2 linked regions of the Caenorhabditis elegans genome follow. The protein of the gene in region 1 interacts with the protein of each later gene in a biochemical or structural test. Each region holds a gene or a part of one and is shown in the gene's direction. Other genes may lie near its edges.

Region 1 (4,907 bases):
ATGCGACAATTTCCTAACGCGCTAACAATTGCCTTTACATTAGTTTACAACTCTTCCCGGTTATAGATCTCATTCATCCTGTTGCGTTTGTTGGGTGGCCCCCTCCTCATTGGGATATGTTTGCCTGCTTTTTTAGTTTAAGTGTGTCTGTATTTTTTTCAAAATGCTTTGTGTTATGGTTTTGTTTGGGCTTAAAAACTTTTTTTTTCGAAAATTGCTAAATTATTTTTGCCATTTTTAAAAAAATTTTATTCACTTTCATATATTTACTCACTGTACTCAAAAAATCATATTTTTTCTCTTGAAAATTTTGTGTTTGTTCCAATTGTTTTTTCCTCTAATTAACTCCCAATTTTTTTCACCAGCTTTCCCCAAAAGATTTGCACTTTTAGATGCAAGAAGTATAGGGATAGTGCGAAAATCAGCAAACAATTCTCCCAGCTCTCCACCAATTTTCCACTCTTTTTCCTCGCCGCTTTTCACCTTTTAACCTACTACCCCCATTCCAAGCAGCTACCGTTCCTCCCTTAAATCGGCTTGAAGACTGTCCAATTGTTGTGTCAATATTTGTGGGGGTACTTTTATATAATCGGAAGGTTTCGACAGTTTTCGCCACCTTCTTTGGTGAGGTGGCGATATCAGTGATTATAAAAGGTATGGGAAAATGAAATATATATAGTCAAAGCTATAACCTCTGGGAGATGATTCTTCCTCTATTTATAAACACTTGAGGATGTGAAAATCGGACGGAAAAGACGAGCCACCAATATGAGGTTTGATGATCGGGGAACTCTCGTCGAGTGATGAGATGACGACGACCTGTGTATGTCGGAAAAGATTTGGGGATATTTTGTTTGGACAGGATATATGATGGTTTGGGCGGGTATTGCAACAAAAACTCTTTTTGCCAAATGAAATCAAAAGTGCACGCGGGCCGGAGCAACTTGAAAAAGGCGAAGCTTTGTACATGGTTTTCACCGCCTTCCTAGAAAAATCCTAGAATTCAGAAATTTGCAATATAGAGTTGTTTTGAATTGAAATTCATGAATTGATCACGAAGTGGCTAGGTTTATTGTATGTACAAAAGTCTTTCGATAAGACTATGGTAGCACACTCAAATGCACTTGACGTGAAACGCCAGGTACTGTGGATTCACTCTGTATCAAGAGAGTGGCCGACAAATTTTATTTTTGGCAGTTGCCAAAATTGAAAATTTTAGGAAAATTGTGGTTTTGCAACTATGTATTCATGCAACATCAACATATTTTATATGTTCTGTTGAATTTTTGTACTTTTCTGGAAATTATGTAGTTTTACATAAAATGAGGACTGCTAGATTTGAAGCTTAAACACACTGGAATTGCTTTAGAAAGTATACATGAGAACTGTATGATTTGGTTACTGTCAGCTAATGGCCAGAAACGCATTAGAATTGGAAATATTTTCTCAAACACCAATGCTACCAAATTTTCTAGCTCTTTTCAAACTTGCACCCCCAATAGCGGCAACCGCGTCTAATATAATAACAATAAGCAAGAAACATGCGAATCTATATTATATATTATGAGACGGTTATATACCATGATACTCCGTCCAACGTGGTGCATGACAAGCTATTCAAGTATGTGAGTGTGTGAGTGAGTGTGAGTGTGTGTGATGTGTTTATGCTAGTTGCGAGACGCGCAGGCGCAACAAGAGAGGCGGCTCTAAAATGCAAATATTTACCTGAGTCAGGAAAGAAATTCAGTTAGAGAAGAAGGAGGGTGGAAGCTTCTCCTAAAAAAGTGGGCGGGGCCTAAGAAGTTGCAACTGTGCCGCTGTGCCTCGCCGCCGCCGACGGTCAGCGCGCGCCTCTGTCTAGCAACCTTCTATCTCCTTACTTTCTTTTTTTAAAACTGACCTACTGCTCATTTATACCCCCCGTCAACTAGTTAGGGGGGATGGCGTTTTCGCTGTTCTCCGTCGTTTCACTGACGGTCATCTACCGGTTGACCATCAACTTTCCCGAACTACCGTACACTCAGGAGTTGAAGAACGTTGAGAGCGATGAGTTCGTGAGCACATCTAGAGATATAGCTCATTCTATTCAAGAGTTGGTCAAGGATCTAGAAGGAAGGCATACAGCTAAGGTTGCCGATTATAAGTGAGTTTTGAGTGAAAAAGGTTATCGACAATTTTGGGCGTTTTTCACTTTTCAAGAAATTCTAAAATTGCTCCCCTAATTTCCACATATTTACTTTTTTGCGGAATCTTAAAATTACAAAATGTCCATCAGTCCGTAATCCAAACCCGTAACTGTTGCCCGTGGGCCATAACCCAGAGTCCGTAATCCGCAAGTTCGGAGACCCGGGTTCCAAAATTGGGAGTCCGGAGTGCAGAGCCCGGAGTCCATCGTCCGGAGAACGGAACCCGAAGCCCGAGGTCCGAAGTCCGAGGTCCGGAGTCCGCGGTCATTCAAAATTCAACAATACTAATTTAGAAGGCATACTTCTGCAGCTTAATTTTAAAAAGTATATATTAAAGTTTTCAAATAATTCTTCCAAATTCCAATGTCATGTTTTCTGATAATTCTTAACAAAAAAAAAACGGTCGCTTCCTCCCACGAGAGAAAGTCAACAATAGAGTATTTTGTGTAAATACATGCGTATGTATGTACATGTGTGTGTACCTATATGTTGTTGTAACTTCCAGATATCACAAAATCATTGGATCTCTTGTCTACGTGGATTTGTACGCTGAAAAAGAGTCACCACTGGTGTCTGATGTGTTGTTGTCCGCGATAAAGTCTGGAAAAATTGGGAACCTTACGGTTTCCGATGAGGGTTTTGAGCTTCATGTTGTAAGAGGTGTGTTGTTGTGTGTTGTTGTGTGTTGTTTTATATGTTAAAATTATTCAGTCGCCTGAAAAATCTTACTTTACCAAAAATTGCAGACTCGTCAATAGCCTGCGCCACCACAGAATTCACATGCCTTGACAAGTCATGCATCCCGGCGGATCAACGTTGTGATGGAAGACGCAACTGTCCAGATGGATCAGATGAGCACAAGGAGCATGGAAAATGCAAGCAGCATCAACCAATCATCCATCAAACTGAGAAAGTTGTCTTCGCTCAGAAACATGGATCCATCCATCTCTCGGCTTCAATTGATAGTTCGGTAGAGGATAATAAGGTTCGTATACACTTTATTTGATTATAAAAAAGTGTCTACATGATTGGAGGCTATGCTTAATTTTCTAATTCCAAGCTATGTTGATAATTAAAAAAAAAGTTTCTTAATTGACTTTTGAATTGAGGTAATGCTCCGAAAAATCTTTTAATATTGTGTAAAACTATTGATTATTCCAGATTGCTTGGTCCAAAGACAGCGTTCTTCTTGGAGTTGGCTCGATGACCTTGGCAGAAGACGGGCGTGTGACGGTTTACAAAAAAGGAGACAAACATCATCTTCATATCATCAACGCCACCGACGCAGATGATGGAACTTATAAAATGATTGTGCAAGGAATAAATGTGGAGGCTGATTTTGAGGTAAGCGTTGGAAAGTGATTCAGGAAATTTGAGAAAAATATTAAGAAAGGGGTTTCCATATATGCTATCATTGATGGTTTGAAACTTCCTTTAAAATTTTAAATTTCCAAAAATATTGGCAAAACTGTAACTGAGAGGTTCAACGACTATTATATTTGCACATGAATTTTTTGGTCCATTTTTTAAAAAATTTTTCTTCTCCGATTTGCATATTTTGATACATTGTGTTTCAACTTAAAGGACTTCAAACAAGTGAAAATATGTTTGAAAATTTCTAAAATCAAAATTTTTCATTATTCCGAAACCGATCAGAACCAATTTCCATTTACAGTATTTTTAGCTATTCATAAAATGTTCAATTTCAGGTCCGCATCACCTCCGACCGTGTCGCCACCGAATCCGACGAATGCCCAAGCGGGGAGCGTGCCTGTAAATCTGGACATTGCCTTCCAGTCGCCCAATTCTGTGATCGCCGAGTTCAATGCCCAGATGGTGATGACGAGGAACATTGCTCTGGTAGGGGGCCTCTTAGTCATAAAATACATTGAACATTTCGTTATAATAGGTGCTAGATACTACCTCGCTCCTTAGAATGTAATAATTGATGTTTTTCATTGTGAGAAAAATACTAGTACCAAAAAATGGAAGATAGATCAATGACTCATTTCCAATAATTTTTAGTTGAAAAGCAGCCAGTAGACCCGGTTATTCCAACAAGGTGAGAGGGGACGAAAAGAGCACACACACACATGTGTGTGTGTGTGCTCGGAGAAACAATAGTTAAACATTTGACCAGCACACTTGTTTTGTTTTTCGCACACTTGTAGGAGAAAATGCTCAAGGAAAAATTGAAAAATTGTGCTCCGTGCTTGAGAAAATCTTTCGTCGACTTGACTTATTACAGAAGTGCAATGCAAATCGAATGAGTTCCGATGCGAGTCCACAAATGTTTGTGTGCCAACTGTCGTCGTCTGTGACGGATGGAAAGATTGCCATGATGGTTCTGATGAAAAGGTAAGGGGTTGGGGAATTTTAAATTCAACAAAGTTGTACTGTGAAACTACAGTAGGGAAATCGTAGGGATACATTGGACCCACAAAAAGACCGCATTTTTGCAATACAGTAGTATTCCAGAGCCTGTATGGATACTCTATAAGATATTACTGTAGATGCACTAAATAATTCAGGAATGGGCGGCAATTGCTGTTCGGCAAATCTGGCAAATCGGCAAATTGCCGGATTGCCGATTTGCCAGAAAAATCGTTTGCCGCACACTCCTGATAAAAGGTGCCTTTATTGCATTTTTTTAGACAATTGGGATTACTCCAGGAGTTTTCAAAGGCAATCTTTAATTTCAAGTTCCTTTAAATTTCAATT
Region 2 (7,718 bases), on another chromosome or scaffold:
TTAGACGTTTTGTGTTCCCATTTTAGTCATAAAATCCCAAAAGTACATAAAATCGCTACAGTCAAGGCGCACTAAAAAAACCTTTTTAAAAAAATAGAAAAAAATATGACTTTTTTAATTCCATATTTCGAAATAGTAGTAGAGTATTCGCCTCGCCACAACTTTTTTGGCGCATTTGTTCCCGGCATGTTTTTGGTACAATAGACGACGTTCGCTATCTTCTTCCCGCATGTCGTGACTAATGTCCCGTTGGCTTGTACATGTTGAATATAATTTCACACACACACACACACACACACACAGCGTGACGCATAAGTTAGTGTTGTTTTTTCTATGCTGGCCGGGTCTGTTCCACTTCTCATCTTGACCATTTATGTTTCGACACTGTGATTTGTTTCAAGTCGACTTGTTCCTGTTTTTTGTTCAGTTCTTTGGAAATCAAGTGGCTATTGAAATATATTTTTTGTGAACTCAAATTTGCAGACGTGTCTGTGACCATTAATTTCAAACTATACAATTTTATGGCATTATTTTCTAATAAAACCCCCATTTTGTTTAGATAAAATTGTTAGTGTTCTAATGAAACATACATTTTAGAGCGAAGATAATTTTAACTATTTAACTTAAAGAGACGTGATGGGGTGGTAACAATTTAAAATTTCTGGCTTGTATATATTTTTGGCATCTGTGATAAAGACAAATTGTAGGAATATGTTAATTTAAATAAACTTAATCCAAAATTTTTGGATTTATTTTTCAGGACTCATTATGAAACCTTCCAGGGAGCCAAAACCCTCCGAACTTAATCTCCTTTATTTAAATTCAGAATTTTACAAAATATCCAAAGATAAAAATACCTAATAATAGTTTACTAATTTTTGAATTAGATGACAACCTTTCAAAACAATCGACTCCCCGCTCCTCCTACCAGGTCCCTCTCCGATGGTGCGGTTTGTCGCCTCGCGTCTATAATAAAACCACCGGCGGAGGTGGTTGGTGTCCAATAAACGTTGAAGACCCCCACCGTTTATACCCAAACGCCCTTCTTTTTTACCTCTTCTTCTACTCAAGCATATCTATCAGATCTCTCACACACAGTCTTCCCTTCTGGTAGATACTAATCTAGAGTAAGATGCGACCCGCCCGGAGGAAGACGAGAGGAATATTTATATTTTTCCCCCTCATCCAACCTACTGAATCATACCAATAGTTGGTGGGAATTGCCGAACAAAAAATAAACATATCCATGACTCGACACAAGTGAAATGCGAAACCTAGCGTCTTCCATCTTCTATGTACGGGATATCCTTCTATTTTTCTATCCACGATGGATTATGATTTATGAATCTTCCTAGATTTTTCAAAAAATTTCATTTACTCCTTCCCCTGCTCGTTTTGCTCTGCATCTTGTTTCTATTATTTACATCAAGTTCGCTAAAACAAACTCAATGGCGGCCTGCTTGTGTGTATGTGTGTGTGTGTGTGCGTGTGTTTGCCGTAAATTCTTGTTTCTTTCTGATAAGTTATGTCTTATCGCCGCACAGTTTTTCCTTTTCGTCTTCAATGCCTCCTTCTTACCGAGCTCTGTTTTTAGATTATTAGAAGCATTAAAACCAGTCGTCTATTTCTATTTTCAGTCTCAAAAACTTGTTGATCAATTTAATTTTTTCAATTTTCAGCGACCAGCATCGAAAGAAAACCGATCGGAGTGGGAAGAACGCCTCACCGAAGGAAGGAAGCATGTCCCACGAGTCATCGGAAAGTGAGTTCTAGACATTTAAGTTTCAAACTGTTTCTATTTTGCAAAACGTTCAATGTCCACTAATCTCAATTGTTTGCCACAGTTTTCTCCTAACCAATTATCACCGAACCCATTTCCTACGGTCGCCGTGGTCGTTAAACTCAATGTCACAATGACCAGAATTAGCCAAGGCAACACACCAACTTATGTACATTCTTGCGTTTTCTACGCTCCCCCTTTCCCTGCCTTCTTATGACTTCAATGCGATGATCGCATCTCAACAGTCTTCTTATCACCTCGAAACTGCCAAATACGGCCACCCCGCCTCATGAGGTATTGTGGTGTTGACACTTACACATTTCGATACACATACACATATACGTAATAATTTTGCTATATACGTTTTCGAAAAGTTCACACTACTCGGAGCCTCCTCCTCCTCCCCGCCAGGTGAATGCTTTCTGGCGCGCATGATGGTGAGGATGCGTCTCTGAATGTGCAAACATTATATTTGTATAAGAAGGCGAAGAAGACGCAGTGGGAGGAATAGAAGGCAAAAAGAAAGAGGGCAAAGAGAAAACAATCTGTTTGTGATGGTGTGTGTACGTGTCCGACAGTCCAACCAGGAGTCTCCCCTTTATTCATCGGAGACATCTTTCCGGGGCCAGTCTTGTACATTCCGAAGGGAAAGGGGAGAAAGGAGGGAAAACGAGGGAGATTGCGCATCCTCGCAGGGTGACTCATCGTTATTTGCCGGGATGGGAAAGAAAGCGCATGATAACCTTTTTTGTTGACCATGTTTTGCCGCAAAATGAGTCATCAACCTAGACTTGTTACACTTTGCGACTTGGGATGTGCATAATCCTACAACAATTATAACTGAACATGAAACTGTATTTTCAGAAGCGCATAAAGCGATAGAAAATGTGGAGGACTACTGCCAGACACTGACAAGACACGGCAATGAGGAGCTACGCACAAACCTGGAACGAGTTATCACCACATTCAAATCAAACCTGATGCATTCGTTGCTCGACATTCACGATCTGTACGAGCAGACGCTGCTCAGCGAGCGAAAATCAGATGCAGAGAAAAATATGGAAGTAAGGCGTGTGATTGAGCGACTCGAAGGTGGACCACACTCCTACAACAGTCGTCCGGCTGCGACGACTTCCACGTCGAACTACAACCTTTCAAGCACAACTCCACTTATTTCAGATGTAAGCTCTGCTTTCTTTTTTTCTCTGGATTTGGATTCTAGATTTTTTTAATACTTTATAAAAAAAATTATTTTAGCTGAGAGATCGGGGAGGTTTCTCGTATTTGAACGGCGGAGGCCTTGGAAACGGGCTTGGGAATGGACTTGGAAACGGACTTCTGTCTTCTCCGTACAACTCATCCAGCACTCACTACCTTCATGAGCGTCAACGTCAGACCAGTCATGATGGAACATGGCGGGAAACAACCACAAGAACAGTTGACACTCCAAGTGGTCTTGAAAGACGTGTGGTTGAAGTAAGATAATTTTGGCTCAATATTAGTTTTAATTATCATATATTCAGCATACTGGAGTTATCGATGATCATGGTCGTAAATGGGAGCTTGAGAATATTGTCTTGGAGAAAGGTCACACCGGCCTTGGATTCTCGATTACTGGAGGTATGCGCGTTCAACCGGTATTTATGATGTAACATATCTGATTATAGGTATGGACCAACCAACAGAAGACGGAGATACTTCTATCTATGTCACCAATATTATTGAAGGAGGTGCCGCACTTGCTGATGGGCGTATGAGGTAAAAAACCGCAATTTAAGATGAACAGAACTTTATGGTCATGTTTTTTTTAGAAAGAATGATATTATCACTGCAGTCAACAATACAAACTGTGAAAATGTGAAGCATGAGGTTGCAGTCAACGCATTGAAAAGCTCCGGAAACGTTGTTTCGTTGAGTTTGAAACGGCGTAAAGATGAAGCCTTTCTTCCAATTGGAGGAAACTTTGGCGGGTCGACTTCTTACCTCAGATCAGGAGTCACTCCATCAGTGAGCGCCGGCAACTTGCAACACGCAATTCATTCTCCATCGGCTCCGATTCATCCACCACCGCCACCACCAGTTCATCACGGATCATTGAGCCAATTATCTGTTGGCCAATATCGTTCCACACGACCGAATACATCCGTCATTGATCTGGTTAAGGTTGGCGACATTTTCTCTTTCCAAAGTACAAAAGAATCTATGTGAACTTTTTTTAGGGAGCACGTGGACTTGGTTTCTCTATTGCTGGTGGTCAAGGAAACGAGCACGTTAAAGGAGATACCGATATCTATGTGACGAAAATCATTGAGGAGGGAGCAGCTGAATTAGACGGAAGATTAAGAGTCGGAGATAAGATTCTTGAAGTTGATCATCACTCTTTGATTAACACGACTCATGAAAATGCGGTCAATGTTCTCAAAAACACTGGAAATCGTGTTCGACTTCTTATTCAGCAAGGAACTGGGGCAATTTTCAATGACTCGGCGAGCCAACAATTCATGCCAACTACCCCAATTCTCAGACGTAAGACAATCCCAAGAATCAAAAATAATAATATAGTTTCTAATTAATTTCATTTCAGCTAGCTCCGTTCAAGACTACAACCGCTCTCAAATGGGATCTCAAAGTCATTTGTCTTACGGAGGACCACTGAACACCAGCTACAGTTCACAAGCCCCCATCGCAATTCCACTCGAACCCCGTCCAGTACAACTTGTAAAGGGCCAAAATGGACTTGGATTCAACATTGTTGGCGGAGAAGACAATGAGCCCATCTACATCAGTTTTGTTCTCCCAGGAGGTGTTGCTGATCTTAGTGGAAACGTGAAGACTGGAGACGTTCTTCTTGAAGTGAACGGAGTTGTTTTGAGAAATGCAACCCATAAGGAAGCAGCTGAAGCATTGAGAAACGCTGGAAATCCCGTTTATCTCACTCTTCAGTACAGACCACAAGAGTATCAAATTTTTGAGTCCAAAATTGAGAAGCTGAGAAACGACGTGATTGCTCAATCTAGAATGGGAACTTTGAGCAGAAAGTCTGAATATGTTAGGTAAGAAGATTTGTTTACTTATAAATGTATACATATATCAACGAATAACATCTTTCAGAGCACTTTTCGATTATGATCCATCACGTGAAAACTCTGTTGCTCCCCATAGATCAATGGGATTTAACTATGGTGACATCCTACATATCATCAACTCATCTGACGATGAATGGTGGACAGCTAGAAAAGTTCACGAAAACGGAGAAGAAACAGCTGAAGGAGTGATTCCATCAAAGAAACGTGTCGAGAAGAGAGAACGACTTCGTCGGAAGCAAGTCAACTTCAACTCGGGATCGCAGTCTCTTGGAAGAAACTCGAGCACTACTGGATTGGAAAACCGAAGAGGAAGCCGCAGTCAGCTTTCCTTCTCCAGAAAGTTCCCATTCGTCAAAAGTACCGACCGGCTCAACGATCTTAATGAGGAATCCTCAAATGTAGCTGAAGAGCCAGTGTGGTCCTACCAGGCAGTTGAGCAACAGGCGATCAACTACGTTCGTCCAGTGATCATTCTTGGAGCTCTCAAAGACCGAATCAACGATGAACTTGTCAACCGCGACCCTTCGAAATTCAGTAGCTGCGTTCCACGTAAGTTGTGAAGTTATTAACTACTTTAAAAAAGAGAACATTTCTAAATAGTATGTGCAATATACTCATAATACCCTTTTCAGACACTTCCCGACCACCACGCGAGGGAGAGGTTAACGGACGTGACTACTACTTTGTCAACAAGCACAATATGGAGGAAGATGTCAAGAATAATCTCTTCATTGAAGCGGGACAATTCCAAAACAATCTCTACGGAACTAGCATTCAAAGCGTCCGAGATGTCGCCAACCAAGGAAGACACTGTATTCTGGACGTCAGTGGAAATGCTATCCGACGACTTCAAAGCAATGCCAATATTCAACCAATCTCGATCTTCATCAAGCCCAGCTCTGCACAACAGATTCTGTAAGTTAAATTGTAAAAAGAAGCTTTATCAATCTGCAAAATTTCAGTGAATTGGACAGCCAACTTGCCACCAACCGACAAGACGATCGAGCGATGAGTGGCGAAGAAGCTCAAGCGCAGTATTCCAGATGTCATAGAATTGAGCAAACTTTCGGGGATTTGTTCACGCGTATGTCTTTTTTCCAACCATTATTATCAAATATCTGATTTTTTATTTATTTCAGAAGAAATCTCAAATGTGCACAGCGCGAATGACGTTTTGAGCAAAGTGTACTCCATCATCAGCCGTGAATCGCAGACGCCAATTTGGGTGCCACGTCATTAGATGAAATTGGATATTTTTTAGACAAATAATCGTTTCTTCAAGAAATATGTCTTCTTGAAATTAATTAATATACAGTTTAATTTACCTTAATAATTAGACTACGCCGTGTTGTGATACTTTTTTTTAATCTGAGAAAAGTGATCCTTTGAAAAAACTCTTGATGTCATTTGCTTTATCCTGTTTCCATCCCCATCTTTATTTGTATTTTGTTTAGTACCCCTTCCCTATTATGCATTAATTTACATGACCTTTCCAAGTTCTCAATTCAAGAAACTCTACTACTCGAACTCAGAAACGTGAAAGGCCAATATTTCAATAGTTTTCTGATTCTTTTTTTCTTTTACCTTGCTCATTATTTTCATTTTCAATCATAACTCTCCACAATCACTGCCAGAAAACGGTGAATCGTTTCTACTTTTGTCTCCGAATATTTTACTACGATAGTTTGTACTGCCTGTTTTCTCTACAGCCCATTTTATCTTGAAATTCACCTTACAAATACTTGCATTTTATAATCCGCCCCAGCTTTCCTTCCTTCTTCCCTCTCCTTCCTCCCCCAACTCAATTCACTTCTTACTTGAAATTGTGACAGTTTGTGATATTCTCAACGCTTCATTTGTCTCTACTAACCGCAAATCATTATCATATTCCCGACTCTCTACTGATGAAAAACTTCGGCTCATTTCTATTTTTTGGGACTTTTATTACTCTGAGAGCATTTTATTTTCATCCATTGGTTCCAAACTTTTTTTTTTTAATTATTTTTAAAAACTTTTTATACAAATTATCTTGAATAAAGATTTTATTGCATCTGCAAAACATACATGTGTTGAAGTAACAAGAAAAAACTTTATTTTCAGTATATCAGGGTGTTCTGAAAATGACTGCGGCAATTTGTCATTAAAAATATTCATTTTATTAGATCGCTGGAAAAATTCCGAAACAAAAGGATTTGAAGTACTCTTCAGAATCCGTTTCGAAATGTGCTTCCGTAGCGCAGTAGGCAGCGCGTCAGTCTCATAATCTGAAGGTCGTGAGTTCGAGCCTCACCGGGAGCAATCTTTTTTGCCTAATATATTTCTTCGACTGAAATATTGTTCCTGATATTTTATTAGTCTTTCAATTAACGAAAAAAACATGTATTTTAAACGCAAAATAAGATTAGAATGATTTTAAAATATCAATAATATTTTAATTACTGACTATGAGTTAAATTTGAGATTTTTCAACTAGACTATTTACAGTTGTGATATTTTCAAATCCCTGTCCCACTTGGGATCTCAGTTTTTGCATCCTTTCTCAAGTCCTTTGTGAAGAGTTCACAACGTGCTTCCGTAGCGCAGTAGGCAGCGCGTCAGTCTCATAATCTGAAGGTCGTGAGTTCGAGCCTCACCGGGAGCAATTTTTTTTTTGAAGTTTTCCCAAGTAGCATAAGTTGCCATGAAGAAAACTGTAATTTTAATTTAATTTTTAATTTAACTGTTTAAATTCATTTTTTAATTTGAGTCAAAGCTAGCAATTTATTTTATCTCACATTTTGTTAATTTGAAACACAGACTGGCTCGAATTTAAGAACATTTTTTTATTCTTTTGATCCTACTTTGCAGACGTT

Evidence for each region.
Region 2: the proteins of unc-52 (region 1) and dlg-1 form a complex in vitro, tested with the Caenorhabditis elegans proteins (one study listed by BioGRID).

What each region holds. Positions count from the first base shown.
Region 1 is NC_003280.10:14,681,330-14,686,236, reverse strand, and holds the start of unc-52 (Basement membrane-specific heparan sulfate proteoglycan core protein), read left to right. Parts: upstream 1-1,780; 5' UTR 1,781-1,940; coding exon 1,941-2,143; intron 2,144-2,691; coding exon 2,692-2,846; intron 2,847-2,932; coding exon 2,933-3,171; intron 3,172-3,347; coding exon 3,348-3,530; intron 3,531-3,895; coding exon 3,896-4,046; intron 4,047-4,434; coding exon 4,435-4,544; intron 4,545-4,907. UniProt on the Caenorhabditis elegans protein: Component of an integrin containing attachment complex, which is required for muscle development and maintenance. Probable structural role in myofilament assembly and/or attachment of the myofilament lattice to the cell membrane.
Region 2 is NC_003284.9:5,478,021-5,485,738, forward strand, and holds dlg-1 (Disks large homolog 1), read left to right. Parts: upstream 1-1,679; 5' UTR 1,680-1,740; coding exon 1,741-1,762; intron 1,763-1,971; exon of another isoform or gene 1,972-2,082; intron 2,083-2,198; exon of another isoform or gene 2,199-2,476; intron 2,477-2,644; coding exon 2,645-2,961; intron 2,962-3,037; coding exon 3,038-3,256; intron 3,257-3,303; coding exon 3,304-3,400; intron 3,401-3,447; coding exon 3,448-3,538; intron 3,539-3,591; coding exon 3,592-3,943; intron 3,944-3,999; coding exon 4,000-4,306; intron 4,307-4,364; coding exon 4,365-4,833; intron 4,834-4,891; coding exon 4,892-5,415; intron 5,416-5,498; coding exon 5,499-5,781; intron 5,782-5,828; coding exon 5,829-5,950; intron 5,951-6,005; coding exon 6,006-6,106; 3' UTR 6,107-6,921; downstream 6,922-7,718. UniProt on the Caenorhabditis elegans protein: Essential multidomain scaffolding protein required for normal development. Recruits channels, receptors and signaling molecules to discrete plasma membrane domains in polarized cells. Required for proper embryonic elongation.